2 linked regions of the Caenorhabditis elegans genome follow. The gene in region 2 interacts genetically with the main gene of each other region. Each region holds a gene or a part of one and is shown on either strand. Other genes may lie near its edges.

Region 1 (3,757 bases), on a different chromosome or scaffold from region 2:
TATAGTTCCACCAACAGATTGCAGTCTTGGCTTCAAATTTTCAAGCGATTGAAATGCAGCATGTGATGCATCACTGATCTTTTGCTTCATCTCTCGAACATCATCCGACGTCAGCGCCTTCTTCTCAACCAGCTGATGTCCATTGTGCAATCGGATCGCGCATGTCGAACAGATCTTTCGGCCAGTCTCCTCACACTGTGAACAATCGAAATAGACACCCTGACTGAGAACAGCTTCACACTGATTGCACAGCTTGACCAGATGGCGATCCTTGAAGAGTGGAGCAACTTTTTGCACAATTTCCTGAACTCGATAGTTGACAGGTAGGCCATCCGCCGGCACCAGCGTCGGCTTTCTACACTCTGGACACTTGATCTCTGTGGCGCGAGCTTCTGGTCCACGTCTCGGTAGGACTACAATTCCACGCACCATATTCGGATCGTTTGGGTTCATTCGTGGATCTAGACGGGGAAGATCTATGAAATGTGGTTGATCTTCCTGATCGGCAAACCCGCCAAGGCCTCCGAAGCCTGGACCTATATCGTCGGGATGTAGAAGTGGGCCACGTGGGCGGCCGAGTTCTTCTGCCATGTTGGTTTTCACTTGATCTACCTGTAATTTTAAGTTTCATTGGAGATGGAAGAAGTTAAAAATATGAAAATTTGCTAGAAAATAGCAAATTTATTTTGTAAAATAAGGTTGCCACGCGTTTTCTAGAGGTCACTTCAGGTAAATTACCAATTTTATCACGTTTTTTATCAAAAAATAGTTCAACATATAGAAAATCAGTTGATTTATCTGAAAATATCATTTTTCCACATAAAATCTCAAAGAAAGTGCTCAAAATTGGCGAATTCCTCAATGTTTCAGCTGAAATAAATGTTACTTCCCGATAAACCAAGTGATTTTCTATATTTTGGCATTAATTTTCATAGGAAAACGTTTAATAATTGCAGAAAATTGTGAAAACTTTCAGAAAAACATAAAAATCGTTTTTTTTTTCTCAAATTTCAAGAAGAAATTGAACTTTTAAGTGGAAAATCAGTAAAAATATATGAATTTTAGCTCCAAGCGTCTCAAAATCACTGAAAATGTCAGAACAATGACATTTTTTAAGTCGAATTTCGAGAAAAAGCGTGGTTTTAACTTCAAAAACGCTTTAATGACATGAAAATGCCTGAAAATGTGATTTGTATCTCAGAAATTACCTTTTTCTGTTAAAAAAAAAGCAAAAAACTGAGAATTTTGTTTAAAAAAACGGCAGAAAATATAACTTTCCCTTCAAATTTTGACCATTTCGACCTGAAAAAGCTCAAAATTATCAATCAACCTACCAATCTTCCAATACACGTTGAGCATAGCGTGTGTCCGCATCCCATCTGCATCGGTTTATCATAAATGTTGTAGCAAATCGGGCATTCGACGACGTGAGCCCATTGTTGCTGAAAATTCAAAAATTATATTGATTTTAATCATTTTTATTTTCACACAAACTTACATAATTACTGGTACCACTTGTGCCCGGAATGTCCATTATTGCTTTTTATTTATACAAAAATATATTCAAATATTCCAATAAAAATGTGAATAATCGGTTTTGAACCCGATTTGCCCGTCAGGCGGAATCCAAATTACCCTGAAAAAAAATGAGAAAAATCAATAATGTTTGAAAAACGAACGGGGAGAACGCTGTGGGGCGTAGTTGCAAAGAATCAAAAAGTGAGAGAGGAAAACGCACAGAGAGAGACACAGACAAAACAAGCACTTTGCGATGAAAAGGGGCTTTTTGGGTGGATGAGGATGAGGGTGCACGAGAGATGGCGTGTTTATGATTGAGAAAATTGCTGTCTAAATCAATAAAGACTGGAGGAAATTTGTTTTGTGAGTGAGTGATCTCTTTTGATGTTTTCGCTGTGAAAAATACGAAAAGACTAAAAAATTTCGAAATGCTATTTACGAAATAAGAAGAATCTCGCGCTGCAAGAAAAAAAAAAGTTTGTTTTTGTGATATTACGAAAAAAAGACTGAAAAATGTCATTTTCTGGGCAAACACACGAGAAAATATTGTAAAATAATTTTTTTAAGTTGTATTCAGGCATTTTATTGATGAAAATTGATGATTCATCGGCGGAAAAGTGGAAAAAATCGGAGAAAAAGAAAAATAAAAAATGTTTATTAATCAACCGTAGTTTGATCATGGCGAGACCCAAATTATAAATTGGGTCATGCGCCTTTAAAATGTACGGTAGGGTTTTGCGATTTTTTTTTTGAGTTTTGTGTTAAAAATCGTATTCTATTTTCAAACTGAATTCAAATTATTGAATAAATGAATTTAAAACATACTTCCAAAATTTTTTTTTGTAAAAACTATGATTCATTGACGAAAGTTGGAGAAAAATAGATCAATTTCGGCTTAATCATCAACCGTAGTTCAGATCGTGGCGAGAACCAAATTCAACAATGGTCCATGCGCCTTTAGAAATACAGTAGTTTTTGGCAATTTTTTGAAAAATTGCGAGATTGAATGAATAAAAACCCAGAAAAATAAGAGAGCCGACGAAAATTAAAGTGAGAAAAGAGTGGAAAGAAGAAGAAGAGTCGGGTCATATATTCATCAAATTGTGCGTGCATGAATCAAGTGAAAAGACAACGCGTCTATTCCTCGCTTCGATTGTTTCAGGGGGGACCACGATAATAGGATAATAGGTCTCGCAGTTGGAAAGAAAGAAATGGTGACGAAAAACGAAGACGGAAAATCGATGAGAATGGTTGTCTGTCATATGTGTATGTGTGTGTGTGTGTGCACCGGGATAATCTCCACCACTTCTCTATTGGTTTACACCGAGACGGGGGGAAGAAAACGAACCTTCCCGTCCGGCAGACACATCCCACGGGGCGGCAGCAGCCACCGAGGGTCATGATTATTTTTCATTGAGCTCTCCGCGCGCGAGCCGTGGTGGCTCGGATTAAAGCAACCACCACACAGCTGCTCGACAGAGAGCATGACTTCCTTAAAGACAAAAGGTGTTCGGTAATTGCGAAGAATACATAACAGCAGTTGGACCAAGACACCGGAGGGAATGGAATGCAAATTGAAGTGCTGGTGGAGGCTCAATTTAGATGATTTTATGGCGAGAGGAGAGAGGTTGCAGGCGTCGAAGAAGAGGCAACTAGAGAAAAGGATGGAAATTTAATAAAAACGTTGTGAAGTGAGAAGAAGAAGAAGACCGATGATGACAGACGAACGAATACCTCGGCACCGTCGCTCTGATGTTTGACAAAAACATCTGTGTGCTTAGAGACGCAGAATAGGTCAAATCATAATATTGATTCTTATCGTCGTCTTTTACGTTGTTGAGAGAGAGAGAGCATGTTTCTAATTCCGCTAGGAAAACATTTCAGTTGACAACAATACTGATGCAATGTTATTATTTTGTGATCACATTGATTACACATCAATAACACAATTGCGTAATAGCTTTTAAAAAGGAAAATAACAAAGAGAGTGGCATTGTGCAACAATACAGAGTGTATGTGTCTGGAGACTTGTGTGGTGAGGATGGGGGTACAAAAATTTCCATTCCACTCGTCTTTCTAATACCCTCTAGGGGTCTCTTTTGACAAAATGCATTGAAAATGATAAGACATATGCGATTTGTGTGTCAAAACATAATATTGAATGGGATTATTTCTTGGTTGAATATTGAACAAAAAAACGATGATGACTATTGCATCAGAGAAGAACTGAGTGGAAATT
Region 2 (3,757 bases):
TAGATTTTTGTTACTGAAAATTGTCGAAAATCATAAATGTAATTTTTTTCTGAAAAATTACACTCGAAATTATAAAAATTAAAATTTTTATCAAAATATTCAAAAAGTTCTTTAAAAAAAAAATGTTTCAGTTGTCGTTTTTTTGTTGAAAAATGTGTTTGAACAAAAGAAAAACATGCCGATTTTTTTTCGAATGCACATTTTCAAAACCAGTTTTCTATTTGTGGTACAAAAAACGGTACTTTTTTCGTTAAAATACAAAAATTAACGAAAAAACTCACCACGCACAACTTGACATGAAGAAAAAGTAATGAACAACAGCAAGAGCACTACATCCAACATTTTCTCCTCCTTGCGTAACAAGTGTTGTTGGAGTAGATCCATACGTTCCACAAGCGAATCCATCTTCACCGACTACGCCTGTAGAAATACATTTTTAGTTTCTAAAAAATCTGATTTAAAAAAAACAGAAAATTCAACTCACCTATCATATAAACCGTAGAAATTGCTAGATAACAGAACGCGAGATACAAAATCGGTCGAACTGGATACGCGAATCGTGATAAATCAACAAGAAATGTGACAAGAGTGAATAAAGAGCACACGAAACATGCCACAGACCATGCTGCTGTCCAGATTCGAAGAATTCGTCGAACACGTCCATCAAACATCATTGGTACTTGATTGTCAGCTTCACATGTTAATGAACATTCAGGAAGGCGTCCACTGAGAAGAGGCAATGAAAAATGAGATCCGCTTGTTGTATGCATATGATGAGGGCATTTTTTTGGAGAAAGGACAACTTCGTTGGCAATTGTTGAAACACCGAATGTGACGTCATTACTACTTCTGTAACTTGAAATATTTTATATTTCGATCTACGGAAACTTGTTTTATTGTTCGATAAAACAAAGAATTTAGAAATCTCGATGTACATTTTTTTCGGAAAATTTCTAAATTCAAAAACTTTGATAAAAAACTATTTGACGCTTTGGAGTAGGAGTTTTTATGGGGCTCAAAAATTCGGAATAATACTTAAATTCAGCCAAACTTGTCAGTATCACAGCGGCCGTAAATTTAATTTTCAGAGAGCTTTTTTTTTTTGAAAACTCTTACGAGGTTCGGTCTTTGCAGGCCATTCTGAATTTATTATTATTTTTCTTTAAATGCAAAACCGATGATTTTAACTGAATTTACAATTTAATTTCTCGCTGTATTTAAAAAAAGGATTCTAGAACGGTTCCCGTAAATTTAAACTTTAATTCATGTTTTGGGTACTTTTGAAATTTTTGTTGTAAATATATATCAATTATAAATTCTTATTCATAAAATTATGCAGAAAACCCACTTTTTAGAGTTGCTCGACTCGCTGGAATTCTTGCCAACACACAAATCAGTTACTGGGAATTTGTTACAATCCAATTGATCTGGCCATTGAAATCCAAACTTTTTCATTAATGACTCGCATCCATTTTTTGCAGATAAACACAATTCTCGACATGGTTGAATTGGTTTTTCGAGTACTGTACAGACAGGTGCATAGACAGTACAAAGAAAGAGACGAATATCTTCTGAGCATTTAACTTTAATTAATGGATTGAATTGCGCAATTGCTGGACCAGCTTCAGATTGTGTTGTATGTCCGAGAAGATTTGGAAATACTGTTTGATTGTAATCCAGATTTTTGCACATTGGAATTGTAATATGTTCACATTTTCGAGTTGTTGAGAATCCATTCATCGATGAAATTGAAGTTGATGAGAGTCGTTGATCAGCTGATAAGCATCCGAATAAAAATAATATCAGAATATGTCGATGCATTGTAATTGATAGTTTTGAAGAGATTTCAGATTGACAAGTGTTAGTTCATAGCAGGATTCGTCTGAAAATATAAAAAATTATTAAAGAAATAGTTTTTTTGGTTATATGTATAGAAGAAGTTCAACATTATTTAGTTAATAGTTTGTGAAATGGAGAGAACAAAATTCTAGAAAAATGATTTTTGGCAAAATTTGGAAAAAAAACCGAACTTAAGTAAATAGCTAAAATCTTTTTCAGAAAAAATCGAAAAAAAATGTTTAGAAAATTAACAAAAAGTGAAATTTTTAATGAGTTGTTGATGTGGATAAACATTTTCAAAAAATTCTTCTAAACGGAGGAAAATGGCCAACAATTTTAGATATTTTACGAAAAATCTTTTTTTTTCTCGAAATATCAGAAAACCAACACAAATACTTTCCGGCAGTTGGCAAAGATGACACATTAAAAATTTTGGCTAAATTTAGGGATTTCTCTTCGAAACATTTTCTATAAACATTTTTTGGAAGGTTTTATTGGAATTCAAAATAGAAGACTCGGTCCATAAATTGACCTTCAATTGATGAGAAAACATTGAATTTTCAAAAAAAGTGAAATGGTGTAATGTTGACATTGGTTCCAAGTGCTAAATCGAATCAATGAATCGTGAAATTATAGTGAGAAACGTGGCAAAGAAAGACAAAGAATAGTAGATTTCGGTATCTAAGTGAATCTAATCTTTAGATTACTGTACAACATGCCTCTAATCTCTTTTTTGTAATACTCTCTCGTTACGCAACTTCCGAGAGAACGGAGCACACACACACAGTAAAGAATAATTACGGCTCGGAATTCGAGAGTAATTAATGATGATGATGAGCACTGACCTAATGAAAAGATCGAAAAAGAGTGAAGAGACACAGGCCACCTGCTGCTCGAGTGTCAAATGGGCAATGAACATGCAAACGGATGAGGGAGGAAGGATTCAAGAATTTTCAAACAGTGATTCATTTCGAAAATATTCTTGTTATTGTTTGGAGAGAATTGAGGAAAATATAGATGAGAATCGAATTGAGAAAAACGGGGACGATCGATCTGTAGAAGAGATAAGAGCAATGACCTAACTGGTAGAATTTTTTGGCATTTCGGAAATTAGTTTTTAGTTTTTAAATATTTAAGTTGAAGAAAGCAAAGAAAACATTTAAAACAAATTGTCTGAAATCAACGATATTCTTAAGCAAAAGGACGCAAAATATTGCACCAAAAATACGGTACCAGGTCTCGACACGATAAAGTTTTGTTTGCGCCTTCAAGGAGTACTGTAACTCGCATTGCTGCGGATTGTTTTGATTTTATATAGGTAAATTCATGGATTTTCATTGTTTTAATCAAGTTATTTAATAAATCAATATTTTCTATCGGAAAACTATAAAAAATCGATGGAAATTCCGCAGCAAAGTTTAAAGTTACAGTACTCTGTCAAGGCGCACAGCTTTCTACATTTATCAAAAATTTGGCGCGTCGAGAGGTACCGTATTTTTTGCTAAAAATCGCAGAATCGAGCCTGAAAATTATATAAATAATTTAATTGTTTTCGAAATTCAAAAAAAGATGCCAGAAATTTAATATCGACGAACTCGAGGAGCACATAAACATATTATTTGAACTTTTGAATAAACTTTTCCAACATCCGAACTGGGAGGCCGAGTTTCGCAATGTGAAGAGCCAACATACACGTCTCGTGCCGGAGATGGGTGTCAAATTCAATTCCCGAATCAAATCAAATGAACAAATAGGCCCGTCGTTTCGATGAAAAAGAACTGACGAGAGCAACACAACTGGGAGCTTGTGACCAGAAGAAAATGGAGCAAACGAGTGATTTGTGATTGATAACGGAAATGAAAAATGGACGCGGAATTGGAAATAGTGGAAAAGAAGAAGAGGTTCAGACAAGATGGTG

What was found.
Region 1: of mom-5 (region 2) and tam-1, changing one enhances a phenotype caused by changing the other (phenotypic enhancement), as found in Caenorhabditis elegans (one large-scale study listed by BioGRID).

The regions. Positions count from the first base shown.
Region 1 is NC_003283.11:4,961,461-4,965,217, forward strand, and holds the start of tam-1 (RING-type domain-containing protein), read right to left. Parts: upstream 1,643-3,757; 5' UTR 1,535-1,642; coding exon 1,499-1,534; intron 1,443-1,498; coding exon 1,331-1,442; intron 609-1,330; coding exon 1-608.
Region 2 is NC_003279.8:9,963,705-9,967,461, reverse strand, and holds the start of mom-5 (Protein mom-5), read right to left. Parts: upstream 1,883-3,757; 5' UTR 1,822-1,882; coding exon 1,349-1,821; intron 856-1,348; coding exon 485-855; intron 421-484; coding exon 282-420; intron 1-281. UniProt on the Caenorhabditis elegans protein: Receptor for Wnt proteins.